2 linked regions of the Caenorhabditis elegans genome follow. The protein of the gene in region 2 purifies or fractionates together with the protein of the main gene of each other region. This does not show direct contact. Each region holds a gene or a part of one and is shown on either strand. Other genes may lie near its edges. The genes, in order: ugt-61 and ppm-1.H.

Evidence for each region.
Region 1: the proteins of ppm-1.H (region 2) and ugt-61 fractionate together in Caenorhabditis elegans (co-fractionation; one large-scale study listed by BioGRID). This does not show direct contact.

What each region holds. Positions count from the first base shown.
Region 1 is NC_003283.11:4,740,562-4,746,609, reverse strand, and holds ugt-61 (UDP-glucuronosyltransferase), read right to left. Parts: upstream 4,156-6,048; 5' UTR 4,091-4,155; coding exon 4,001-4,090; intron 3,893-4,000; coding exon 3,772-3,892; intron 3,471-3,771; coding exon 3,023-3,470; intron 2,977-3,022; coding exon 2,883-2,976; intron 2,447-2,882; coding exon 2,336-2,446; intron 2,287-2,335; coding exon 2,008-2,286; intron 1,822-2,007; coding exon 1,655-1,821; intron 1,591-1,654; coding exon 1,308-1,590; 3' UTR 1,237-1,307; downstream 1-1,236. Other genes in the region: gtnt-11 (Glycosyltransferase family 92 protein), read right to left, coding at 1-143, 189-281, 333-470, 521-749, 887-1,041; gtnt-28 (Glycosyltransferase family 92 protein), read right to left, coding at 5,473-5,781, 5,830-5,910.
Region 2 is NC_003282.8:12,263,583-12,270,617, forward strand, and holds ppm-1.H (PPM-type phosphatase domain-containing protein), read right to left. Parts: upstream 4,741-7,035; 5' UTR 4,725-4,740; coding exon 4,583-4,724; intron 4,529-4,582; coding exon 4,364-4,528; intron 4,315-4,363; coding exon 4,142-4,314; intron 3,771-4,141; coding exon 3,552-3,770; intron 3,508-3,551; coding exon 3,336-3,507; intron 3,094-3,335; coding exon 2,892-3,093; intron 2,841-2,891; coding exon 2,378-2,840; intron 2,113-2,377; coding exon 2,026-2,112; 3' UTR 1,077-2,025; downstream 1-1,076. Other genes in the region: rpl-34 (Large ribosomal subunit protein eL34), read left to right, coding at 5,420-5,578, 5,706-5,879; C42C1.3 (Ovule protein), read right to left, coding at 6,012-6,104, 6,151-6,315, 6,366-6,504, 6,552-6,722, 6,771-6,823.

The sequences.
Region 1 (6,048 bases), on a different chromosome or scaffold from region 2:
ATTGATCCAAGTGTGGTCTTCATTTCCAAAACACATAGATTTGCAGCCAAATTGTGACCGACACGATATACTTGGGAATTTATGTTTGGGAATTGAGTGGGTAAAGTTCCGAATGTTGGCCAAGGCATAATAGTTAGGATTCCCTTTAAAAATACTGCCTTTAAATTTTTTTAAAAATTAAAATCAACCAATTTCTGGTAGTGATCTAGGACCATTTTGACTTCTTTTGTAGATGAATGAAAGTACACAATAAAATGTGAAGCTCCTTGATTTCTCCAACTCTTAAATTGAAAATATGAATTATGAACACCTACTGATAGTGAGTGACAAACCTCAATGAAAAGTATTATATTCTGAAATTGGTTGTACCAATAGACAGGTTGGACACAAATTGTTAGACCATCCTTTAATTTAGGCATTACTTGTTTTATATTCAGATCTATGACTTTCCCATTTATCAAAATATTTACCTAGAATAAAAAAAACCATTTTTTTTCAAAATTAGACTAGCTGGGCTTACTTTTCGAATTTTCAGCAGCTCTTCCAACGGAACATTGTAAAGTGAGACCTCAAAAACATGAGAACTATAATAACAATTTGGAGCCCAAGACCATGGGCAATCGGCTTCGATAGGCTCGCCGAGCATTTTTATATTTTCTTGTTTGTAATCTTCGAATCTGATTATTAAAAAGCTTCCATTGATAAGGCAGTGATTTAGGGAAAATACTCGAAGTTTTGGAGGAGACATTCTGAGAAAAAATTGAATTCAAGTTTATAGTATGTCCATGAAGATCATAATGTTTTAAGATTTTCAAAAAAAAAAGTTCTTTAAATTTAAAAAAAAAACCGATCACTATAAATTTTTTAATCAGTTTCAAAATTTCACCTGAGATCCACGTATGCATCTTTGTAAAACACTATTGGAAAAGTATTCACATTTTTGTTTTCAACTTGATAAAAATTGCAAATTAATCTTGTAAATAAAAACAAAGACGTAATCAATATAAGAAATTTAAATAGTTTTCGCAAAATGGAAATCATTTGAAATTTGAGGAGCTCAGAGAAGAGTGTTGAAAAAAGGAGCTAAAACCCAGAACAAAGGAAATAATAATAAGGGTTTTGAATATTGTATGAGTTGAAAACGTTAGTTTTAAATAGAAAGTTGATTTTTAAATGTGTATGAATTTTGAAATGTTTTTTAATAATTTTTTTTTAAATTATTGATATCAATAAGTTGAAGTTGATATATTTATTCAATAAACCCGAATATCGAAATGGCTTTTTTTTCTTCAAAATCAGACCTTCAATCAATCGTTCTTAGTTTTAGTCTCTCTTCTACGGCAACATTTTCTGAAAACTGCTTTCAGAATAAGGAAGCCAATGTAGAATACAACTAAAACTACTAGGAACAAGAAGCCGATTACATCAAGAGAATGATATTGATAAAAGTTAAGCTTCTGTCCAGCTGGCACCAGGTTGTCAAGTGTCTTGAATTCCGCAAGAAACTCTGACCATTTCAGAAGACGTTCAGCCGGCTTCATTGGTTGAGCTCGAACCATCGCGGAGAGCCGGGTTACTTTTTGTTTGTAGCTGAAAGTTAGATATTGACATTGTTGTTGAAAATAAAATTGAAAATAAATTTCGGAAAACCAACCTATCATTCTCCAAAATTTCTCTAAGAGCTTCAACGACCGTTTCCTTGGAAATTGTTCCTTTTTCAATGTTCACAGCAAATCCATGTTTCTTGGCGATTTGGGAGTTTTTGGGCTGATCGCCCATGAGAGCAATAGTGATAAGGGGGACTCCGGCGGATATTGCTTCCTGGAAGAATGAATTTTAAAATTTTTGCTGATAGTTTACAGGCATGTCTTGCAATTTCTTGATAAAAATTTAAGTGAAATTTCACAACTGAATGAAATTAGAAAAAACGTTAAACAAAAAAACAGTCAATTAGCAGAAACTTTAATATTACAGTTACAGATCACAGGGTTAACAAAATGCACATACCTGCAAAGAATTGTACCCTCCATGAGTAATAAACGCTTTTGTCTTCTCGTGCAACAGTAGATCCTTCTGTGGAAGCCACTTCGACAAATGCACATTTTCCGGCAATCTATCCTTCAGATCATCTCCTTCATATCTCATGACAAACTGGTAGTCTGGTAGAGATGCAAAAGCTTCCAAAAGCGAGTTTTTCCAAGCCAAGGGCATTTCATGGGCAGCTGCCACTGAGCCAAATGAGAAGACAATAAGCCCATTTCCAGTTTCAGAGATTTTCTTGAACTCCTGGAAAATTGAACATGCTGAGACATGTTGATTTTAAAAGTGGACTTACTCCAGTCAATGGTTTAGCACTGTCAAATCCGACACCAAGCCCTCCAATATTTATCACTTTGGCCAAAGTGGGACGTGGTAGATCGTAGAGTTCATTGCTGTTTACAATTACCTGGAAAAAGTAGTTATTTAGGTATCAGGACTGTGCGGCAACCAAGATTTTCGGCAACCGGCAATTGCCGAAGTTGCCGGACCCAAAAAAAAATCGGCAACCGGCAACATTTGGTTGCCGAAACTTCGGCAATTTTTCGGCAACCGGCAACTTGGTTGATATTTACAAAGATGAAAGTCTTTGAAGTTAAACTGTCGTCCGTGATGTTTTAGCCTAAATATATTTACGTTAACACTCCTAAAAAATTTCGATTTTTTGAAGTTTTCAGCTAAACTTTTGGCATATTGCCAAGTTTTTCAAAAATCTGAACTTTTGTTCTAACGCAACTACCAAATTTCTTATTTAACTTCAATACAAAATAGGTGCAATTATAGCAAAAAATGCTTATGGTTTGCCACTTTTTATGTTTGTTCGAGAAGCTGACCATATCACTTACCAGTGGGCATTTGGCTCCAATATCCATGGTATGAGGAAAACTCGGATCATTCAATTCCTTTCGGAAGATTGCTGTCTCCTCGTCGGATGAGATTCTGAAATTTTTAGATTTTTTTTTCAAAATCCTGGCTCAATTCATACCTTCTGTGCATAACACTCATTAGCACATGACCGATAAAACTTTTTGTTCTTTGAACAAAACCCATTTCATCATGAGATGCCATCAATACGGGCGGTACATAGCTGGGAAGAATCGGAACTCCAACTGCCTGTGATACATAATCCATTAGTGGACCACTGTTAAGCCAGACCCAAGACGGAATTTTGGCGTGATGAATTAATCCAAGTGGGCACGTAGAGTAAATATGAGTGTATGCGACATCAAATTTCTCATCTTCCAGCCATTTCAAGAATTCCTTGTTGCGAAGAATGATTCGGCATCCATCTTGAAGTAGCTTTCCCATTCGACTGAACATTGCCATCATTTGAGGCATATCCTTAAGCCCCATGTTCTTGTATAACATGGCTGATTGTTCTTTTTCGATGGATTGCTTTGTGATTCCTTCAACAGCAGCGTCGAGTTGATAGGCTGGAAGAAAGTTTTGATACAAAGCACTAACACAAAGTTTCAGTACTTTAACATGTATTACTAGCAACTTATTCCTTTTTATTGCCACAAATGTGGTCTTTTTGAGGAATTTAAAGCATTGTTGCATGCTCGTACCAATACAATAAAATAAGTCAAATATGCATTTTCACTGCTTTTTGAAACAACATAAACACTTTCCAACAATTTTTGACAAGTTTTATTATATTAGTTGATTATTTTAGCACCATATAAAAGGTTATTAATTATTCTCCGACTTGTCGTATGCCAAATATCAACTCACTTTTAACACCTTTCGGTACTTTTACGTTTGACTCAAATCCAGCCATATGGTTCACCATTAGCATAGTTACGTCATGACCTCCAATTGCAAGAACCTCGGCTACTCTAGCGTTGAATTGAATCTAAATACATTTTTTCGCTTGATAAAATCGGTTTCTACTGAATTTTGGTACTTTGAAAATTTACATTTCCGAATTAAAACAATAACTAAAAAATCAAGTGAAACTAACCTGACTGTTAGCTACATTTGGGACAAATAAAACAAATTTGTATGCTGAAACTACTCCCACTAATACCAGAAAAACCGACAATACTCTCATTGTTGGAAATAACGGAAACTGAGATCAAATAGATGTTCTTTTATACACCTGCAGTACCTGGGTAAACACAAAAATGTTGGGCAATCTGCGTCTGGAGAGAAGAGACAGCCTTTTTTAATGTTAGACAATAGAGACGCAGCAAGAGAAATAGAAAACTGTGGTCTATAGTGATTTGTGGTTTATGTGTAGAAGTAAATATGACTGGACTTTCGATCGTTGGCCAGATAACTTTAATGATGCAAGTTGTACCAAAGTTCTTTCAAGGATTTTAGATTATCATATTGGAAAGTTAGGTTTAGTTAGGTTTAAGGTTAGGTTTAAAGAGAGTGCCAAAATCTGAGACTTGGGTTTTTATACTGAAAATACGATTTTTTCCTGAAAAATTTTCAGAACGTTTTTTTACAAAATTCGGTAGATTTGGGCCATTTTGGATCTAAAAAAGTAAAGCTTGGTAATTTTGGTAAATTTTCCTTTGTAGTCCAACTAGTATATTAGATTTTTATTTATTTATTTTGTAATTCAGGTGAAACTCAACCAACATCATTAAACTTCTATCATGAAATTAAATTGACCAGAAGTTCTTGGGAACGAAGAGACGTAGTAAGCGAGACAAAGTTGTGGTGTGTGACAAACTGTACTTATTCGGTACAGATTTTTGTTCTTAAAAGGACAATTTTATTGTGATCAAATTTTGGGATCTGACCAACTGCTAAACGCTTCATTCAGTCACGTGGTACCAGGTTGTCCCATCACCGTTTGATCTACAAAAAATGCGGGAATGTTTTACTCAAAAAATATGTGACGTTAGCAGTTCTTAACCATGCAAAATCAATTAAAAACTCTGCGTCTCTTCTCCCGCATTTTTTTGTAGATCTACGTAGATCAAGCCAAAATGAGACACTCTGGCATCACGTGGTAAGTATATTAGAGCTTCTGGGCCAATCCAGAGATGCCAAAGTTTAGCAAAAGTTGAGGATAGCCCTTGATTGAGGGGCTGTACAAAATTCACACTGAAAACTGCTGAAAGTTGTCTAAAGTTGGTTGAGAAATTGTGGCAAATTGGCGCGTTTATGCACCTTTTTATTTTCCACTACAAAATTATTTTAAGAAACTAAAATATAGGCTCTTTAGAATTTGAAGCTTCATAAATTTCTTTTTTTTTCATCAAATGAACATATGAGTAAAATTTGGCACTTGATCAGTAGGACTGAGATCGTGGCAAGACCCACTCGGAATAACAACGTGTGCTTTTAGACCTGCCTGTAAACACAGTAGTTAAAAGAAAAGCCACCGACATCTCGCTGGCACAAGCTTGTGAGATGTCGGCCGCCAAAATAGATTAGTATTTATAACAACTATTTATTATCAAACTAAAATTTAGGTTAAACTACAAAAATGCCTTCAGTCGTATCGTACACCCAATCCGTCAATGGTTCCATCCACTGCTTACAGTACTCTACCGTACTCCTACACTTTCCCTCTCCAACTATTTTCGTGATACACTGATTCAAAACGTGTAGGTATGTTGAGTTGTAAGGTGGTATCGATGAGCCGAACACTTTTCGAAGTGTCTTTTGGATTCGTTTGATGTGCAGGTTTGGGTAAGAAGTGAATAGACTGTAAGGCTTCTGGACTTCCTTTGCAGGATCTGTGTAGCTATTGTGACGATAGTGAAGAAGAGATCCGTTGGCCTGAAGAGGGAAAGAATTAAGAAGAAAAAATGGGGAAAAATGAGCTACCCGAATTGTAGTTTCATTTCCAATAAATCGTCGAATCGAATGTGTAACAATAATGTCTACTGCGGAGCTGTTGAAAATTGTCTAAAAATGAAAATTTGGTATCACTGAAATTCTGAAATTTTTTAATCTTGTCGAAAAAAATCAGGATTTTTTTCAGTTGCCCTTGCAGATTTGGGCACAGAAAATTCAAAAAATACGTTGAAATTGTGTTTGAAATTT
Region 2 (7,035 bases):
GGGAGTACCATGTGGTATTGCTTTTCCGTCTTGTCAGACTCGAGCGGTTAAAAAATGAAAGGATTTTTGAAATTGTATCTACTCCGCTCACAAGATTCAGACAGAAAAGAGGTAAAACCCGAAAGTCGAAAAAAGGAGACACCCCATTTCAATGAGATTAGTTCAAAGACATCGTGTGAAAAAAAAGAAAGAACTTATATTCATGTCGCGTCATTTTAAATTTGTGGGAGTTTCCGGAAGTGATATTTGATTTGAGTTGATATCTTAACTCGATTATAGCCGGATTAAAAAATATTCTAAAAATATGAATACCAAGTACGCTCACGGAATTCGGTCATTGGAATAGTTTTATGGCCTATTATTGATCAGAGTGAGACAATTTCCGTAGGAAGTTGATAATTTGCGACAGAAAGTTGAGAAGAAAAATTGGCTCTGATAGTAAAGCTACACGAAAATGTGATATGTATGAATTTCAAAAAACATGTTTTTTTCTTTTCAATGTTTGAAATTTGATTAATGATCAGCTAATTCATGTTTCTTTTTTTAGGGCTTCCATATTTTTTTTAATCTTAAACTGTTAAAACCTTTAATTTACTAGAGATAGTTTCAAAATATAGTTTAATATTTTTTAGACAAAAAATAGTCGTATTTATTACTACAATTATGGCTCCTGACTCAGAACATTTCTGAGTTTTCTATCTTATTAGCCTCTGCAATCAACAAAATTGAACAGAAAAAAATGAAATACTGAAAAACAAATTTCTCTCATTTCCATAGAATACATCAAAATCAACAAAAGCTCAAAAGTATGGGAGTTGAATTGAAATTTTTATTTTACTGCGGTTTTTCGAAAAAAATAAAGTTTTTTTTCCACATGGGAAACCAAATTGAGACTGATATCAAGCACACTCTGTTGAATCTAAAATTATATGTTTCGTGTGTTGCTTACAGAAAAGATTCATATATGTTCTAGACACTAATTTCCTTCGGTAGTTATGTGCGAATACATATTATTAGTCTGATGTTAGAAAAATTAAAAATACTTGTATAAAAACTTGGCAAAAAAAATTGGAAAAAAAACATTTTTCATAAATTTTGTGGAAGATTGGAATGACTAAAAACACATGTTAACAATTCGAGAAAAACAATAAAAATATTGAAAAAATTTTATGCAAATACCAAAAGAAGCTGTAGGGGCGGATTCGTATTTGGTAATTTTCTTTCTAAAATGAACCGAAAAAAGTTAATTTCAGAAAGTTTCAGTCTAATGATAACTAAAAACCAACAAAGTGGAACAAAAGGAGAAGCTCGTAAAAGCCAACGTCAAACATTCATATTTTTTTTCAAATTATCTTTCGATTTTTCTAATGAATATTGCTATGAGTAACACACATATTATTCCAAGAACTACAAAATAGTCAGAACACATTTTTTGATGAAAGATCTCTCATTGCCGGGAGTTGAAAACAAAAATGAAGCCTTTTGGGATTTGCAAAAGGTTTCGTAAACAATAATTAAAAGTTCGATATATGATTCATTATATGTGCAATAAATCTAATTTTGGTATCACATAGTATACAGACGCGTAGGCGTGCGGACCTTGTGCCTGCCTACCACGCAGATAGGTACGAGGCAGGCGTAGGCCTTGAACTTAAGAAAGCAGGCATTTTTTGCAAACCAGAACTGAATTCGAAAATTTTCCGAAAAAATGTTACCCAAAATTTCTAAAATACTTAGCTTCATATGTAGTTTGTTAGAAGAGATATGCCGCTGGGCACACTAAGATTTTTCCGGTTCAAGAAATCGCAGACTATACTTATGAATCGAGAAGTAAATGCTGAGTTCATTTGTTCGAGAGGAAACTGCGAATTTTTAATAAGTTACTGAAAATAAGTATGATTATTAAAAATTTCCAAGAATAAGTGAAAGAATGACGTAGAAAGGGGAAAAATAAAGAAAGACAGCAGAAAATGTGTCACATCCAGAGAAATAAATTATTATTATAAGTTTGTGAGAGGGCTCTAATTACTCAAGACTCAGCATCTCATCGTCTTCCTCATCTTCCATGTTAGTTGGTGGAGCAGCACAGTATTTTAATGGGATCACAAATACCTGAAAATTAATCATAAAGTTATTTGAAATTAGTTGAATAGATAAATTTAGGTGCCTATGCCTACCTTATGCCTACACGAGTACAAGTGGCGCGTGGTAGGTTCAGTTTATAGCAATTTTATTTCAAAAAAATTTCAAATTTGTTCGTGCACTAACTTAATACATCGTCACAATATTCTTTGCATAATTTTGAAAAGGGCCTTCTGAATTTCACATGGAAATTGTTTACAGAAATTCTAGCTTCAAATCAAAGCCTAAAACTCACTGTGATATCATCATAGCTCGCATGTCCACCGGTATTCATAACCCATCTCTTCAGATTTCCAGATGCTTGTTGCCCTCGAGCAGCTGCCACAAGATCCTGCGCCGCCTGGGTGTATCTAGAAGGATCAGCAGAATCAGTTGATCCTAATGTACTTCTGACAATCAATCCTGCATCCTCATTGCTCAGAACATCCCAAAGACCATCTGATGCCACGATTACCACGTCTTTATCGGTTAGGGTATTCATATCTCGCAGATTAGTGACGGAAATTTCGGGAACTGCTGATAGAAATGGTTTGATACTCAGTCTCTCATCAACAGTTAACAAGTGATGATCTCCGAATCCACGTGAAACTCCAATTGTATTCAAAAGTCGTTTTTTCCGAGAAGTTTCACTGATCAATGATGGTCTAAGATCACATTCTTTCACTGTTTTCACTGCCCATCCATCCATAAACCAGTCTCTGAAATGCCAAATGATTCCAATTGGCTTCACGGTATTTTCAAGAAAATACCTGTAAAGCACACGAGATTTCAAATCATGAATTGTTAATCGTTTGGAATATTCAAGTCTAGAAAACGAGTTTCCTATTAGTTCCGGGTTACGGTAGGCCAGTTCCTGTAGACGTTTCCGTTCCGAAGCTGGAGTTAGATCCTTTGATAGTGCCCGAGAACCATCAGATGTTACGAGAATGGCTCGACAGTCGCCGGCGTTTGCTGAACAACTCTGAGATTTGGAATTCGTACATTCATAAATTGTTGTTTTTCAACATAGTTTTCTTGTGTTATTAATTTTTTCTACGTTAATTGAATTTGGAAAAATTGTGATATCTAGATATCTAGATAAAGTTTCCAATATTTCAAGAAATTACGACAACCTTCAGAAAGTTCAAAAAAATTTTTGAAATCTCCACCTAAAACTTTGGAATTACTTTTCGTCTAGAATAAAGAACACATACCTATATAAAGTTTTCCTAAAAATACAAGAACGGATATAACTGCACATCCACCGGGAAGTCTCCATACTTGTTTATCCTGTGCAATTTGCTCATCCATATCCAAAAATGCAGTCTCTAGAGCTCCTTTCACCAAATGCTCACTTCGAATTCGGTTTTCGTCTTCCCGACTCATCTAAAAAAGATTACGAGAAAATGAAAACCACTGTGGGGGTTTACCTCACTCATACTGTACGATGATTCGGATCGGTGCTTCCCAAAGTTTAAATTCTCATGTCGATCCATGTGAAGAATAGTGTCGAGTACTTCACATAACCGAGACTTTACGTGCTCATGAAGGCACTTACTGGCGACAACAGCAACTGCCGAGCCAGCATGACCATCGAATAAACTGAATAGAGCTCCGTCGGCTCGTGGAGCAAACATGCTGGATTTTTCCTGGAACCGAGAAATATATTCTGATGAAACAAGAGAGAGGGGGCCAACTAATAATTGGAATTCAATTTCTACTTTATCGTACGGATTGATTTGAATAGGTTGCCGCGGGAATTGTGTTAAACATCACTTTTTGGAATTTTCACTGCCATTTTTTTGTTCGGGATTTCGTTATAGCAAACTTCTTTTCGTTACTGTAAACTTTAAAAGCTGCAAAAAATGCTTGATTGTTTTCGTGGTGAAATCAATCCGCATAAGTCTGTGCGCCTTTAAGTACGTGTTCCAGAATAGTGAGAAATTACAATATTTTTAAAGTTGGAAACATTTAAAAAAAACTATTTACAATTCACATTTACGACATTCAGATAGCTCACGGTATCATCTCCTCCAGGCGTTAACATTGGATCATCATCATTTTCATTGGAATTTCTTTTTCTCGTTTCAGATTTCTTTTCGTCGGACGAAAACCCGTTCATTTCGTTTCCCTGGTGTTGTGTCAGAACTAACATTTTTGCAGAGGCTTGATCCTCATTTTGGACAGTTTTTCCTAAATTTTATTTTTTTTCCAACAAAATTGAAGATTTTCTCAATAATACCCGCATTTATTGCTTCTGCATAACCAACATAAAGGGGCATTCGGTGTGGAAATCTGGGACAAAGAACAGGACGGACAGAATGATCAGATGATAATGCGATTTCTTCTTCAGAAAAATACAAAAATTCGGGGCGACTGTATGGATATCTTTGTTTTTCGATTAGTGCTGGAATTCGAGGCTTTCATATTGAAAAGATTGCAAAACTACGAGAATTCTTACATGGAATGAATCCACCAATAAAAACACCATCACTGACATCCATCACTCTTCCCACTTTTGGTGGATTACTAGAAGAAGCCGTTGACGGATCAGAAGTTGATGTTCGACCGACAACGGATATCACCCGTGCAGCAATATCCATCTTTAACTTTCTTAAATGAAAATATTTATACTTTTAAAATTTCCAAACGCTTTGAAATTCAGGAAATATTGAAAATCTACTAAAACTAAAATAGAAATCTCGATGAGACATTTCCGAAGAAAATGATGTTCTGTTTTAAGCCCTCTTTCCTTCGTTAGCTCTTATTGATTCGGCGTTATTCTGCTGGTTAAGCCAGAGACACTCCGTCTCTCCTCTTGTGTCGATTTACGAGCGAAATGAATGCAACGACACATGGTAAACGAGTGTTACCGTAGTCTTCGCGCCGAGGAACAGCCGTCTCACTAAATTGAGAAATTTTTCCTTTTCCTACTCTTTTTTGTTGATTTTTTAAGGTTTTGACCGATTTTATCATACAAAATACGTATTAAAAATTCAATATAATGTTCGTATTCATGTAAAATCCATAATCGATGAAAAAACGCCTATTAAATGCCCAAAAAGTGATAATTGTCGAAAAATTAGATTTTAATCGTTTTCCTATTTTAAGTGGTGTTTCAAACGAATTACAAGAACATTTTACGTGTTTAGTATTATTTCAGCCCTGCTAAATTAATTCCAGTTGAAATTCGGCGTTTTAGCATGCATATAATGATAATTTCAAATATTCTTTCTCTAATTTTCGTATCTGTATTTTTTTGTTTCGAAATAATACTTGCATATTTTTCAGGTAAAAAATGTCCCTCCGCGTTACCTACAGACGCCGTTTGTCGTACAACACCACCTCCAACAAGAAGCGTCTTGTCAAGACCCCAGGAGGACGTCTCGTTGTCCAATACATCAAGAAGAGAGGACAAATTCCAAAGTGCAGAGACACCGGAGTCAAGCTCCACGGAGTACGTTTTTACTTCTAATTATTTTTATTTCAAGTAGTTTATCACAATATAGGCACCTTAATTGTAAATTGAAATCTGAGTTTTGAACATCAACAAGAATTTTCAAATTAATTATTGTCGCTTTCAGATCACCCCAGCTCGCCCAATCGCTCTCCGCCTTCTCAAGAGAAACGAGCGTACCGTCACCAGAGCCTACGGAGGATGCCTCTCACCAAACGCCGTTAAGGAGCGCATTACCCGTGCTTTCCTCGTCGAGGAGCAGAAGATCGTCAACAAGGTCATCAAGCACCAGAAGGACTAAGCTCGTTCGTTTTGTTGTTTTCAATAAATTGTTATGAAAGAAACTAGTTTAATCGAGCAAAACATAAATATATATATCACAGGGAAATGTAAGTTAAGTTAGATTTAGTTATATAATATTAAAAATATAGTGTTACAACGAATTGCATCCACTACTAGACGAATCTATGCCAGAAATTGATTTTGAGTGCTTCTTGCAACTCGTCTTTTTCTCTCTTTTCGACTTCTGAAAAAAAAAACAAAATGTAGGTACACCAGAGTTCGAATATTACCATTATAGCATTTTTAACGACAGAACTATGCTGATGTGGTGCAATTTTTGACAGTTTACTTCCTTGCATCTTGTCAAGTGGCAGAATTACTTCTTCGAATAACGCTACCCATTGTGATTGTTTATGCAAATCTTCGTAGTCGAACTGCCGGGGACATACACCATTCTGGAATTAAATTTTGAAAAATTAGTTTAAGAGATGCATATTATACGAACCTGCGTTACGTATAGACAAAAAGGTATTTCTACAGAAGTATTCCAATCTGAACGCAGTTGATCTTTCGAAGCAAGACGCATTGTTGCTTGTGCACCTGCTTGAGAAATTAGACAGGGATGATTGTGCAGGTTGTTACTTCTGAAATCATAGTAATTAAAAACACAATAAACTCAAAAACTACATACGAAATTAGTTCATCTAATCTTATGAGTACACTTTTAATTTCTTCCATAGATAATATATTTGAAACGGCAGCATTCGAGAAAATGAACGTTGGTGGATGGACAGGAAACGAAGCAAAATGTTCTACTGCGAGAAATGGTGCCACATGTGGATAATCATCGTAACAACTGAAACTGAATACAAAGATTGCAGTTTTATAGCCTGAAAATGTTCCAACTAACCCGAACGTTTCATTAAACTTCCACAACTTTCCGCCAAAAACAAAACGCTGCATAACAAAATTTAAAAAATTTCCATTTATATTTGCCTTCTTTTTATCAACTTTAAAATGTACACTTGGAATACGTGGGGACTAGATAATATTTAATAATTTATTGCAGGTTATGAAAAAATGACAAATTCCCGTGAAAAATAGAAACAATATGTATTTATGTCTATTCACAAAATAAAATTTAGCACCAATCACAATTGTAGGAGACACCGTTT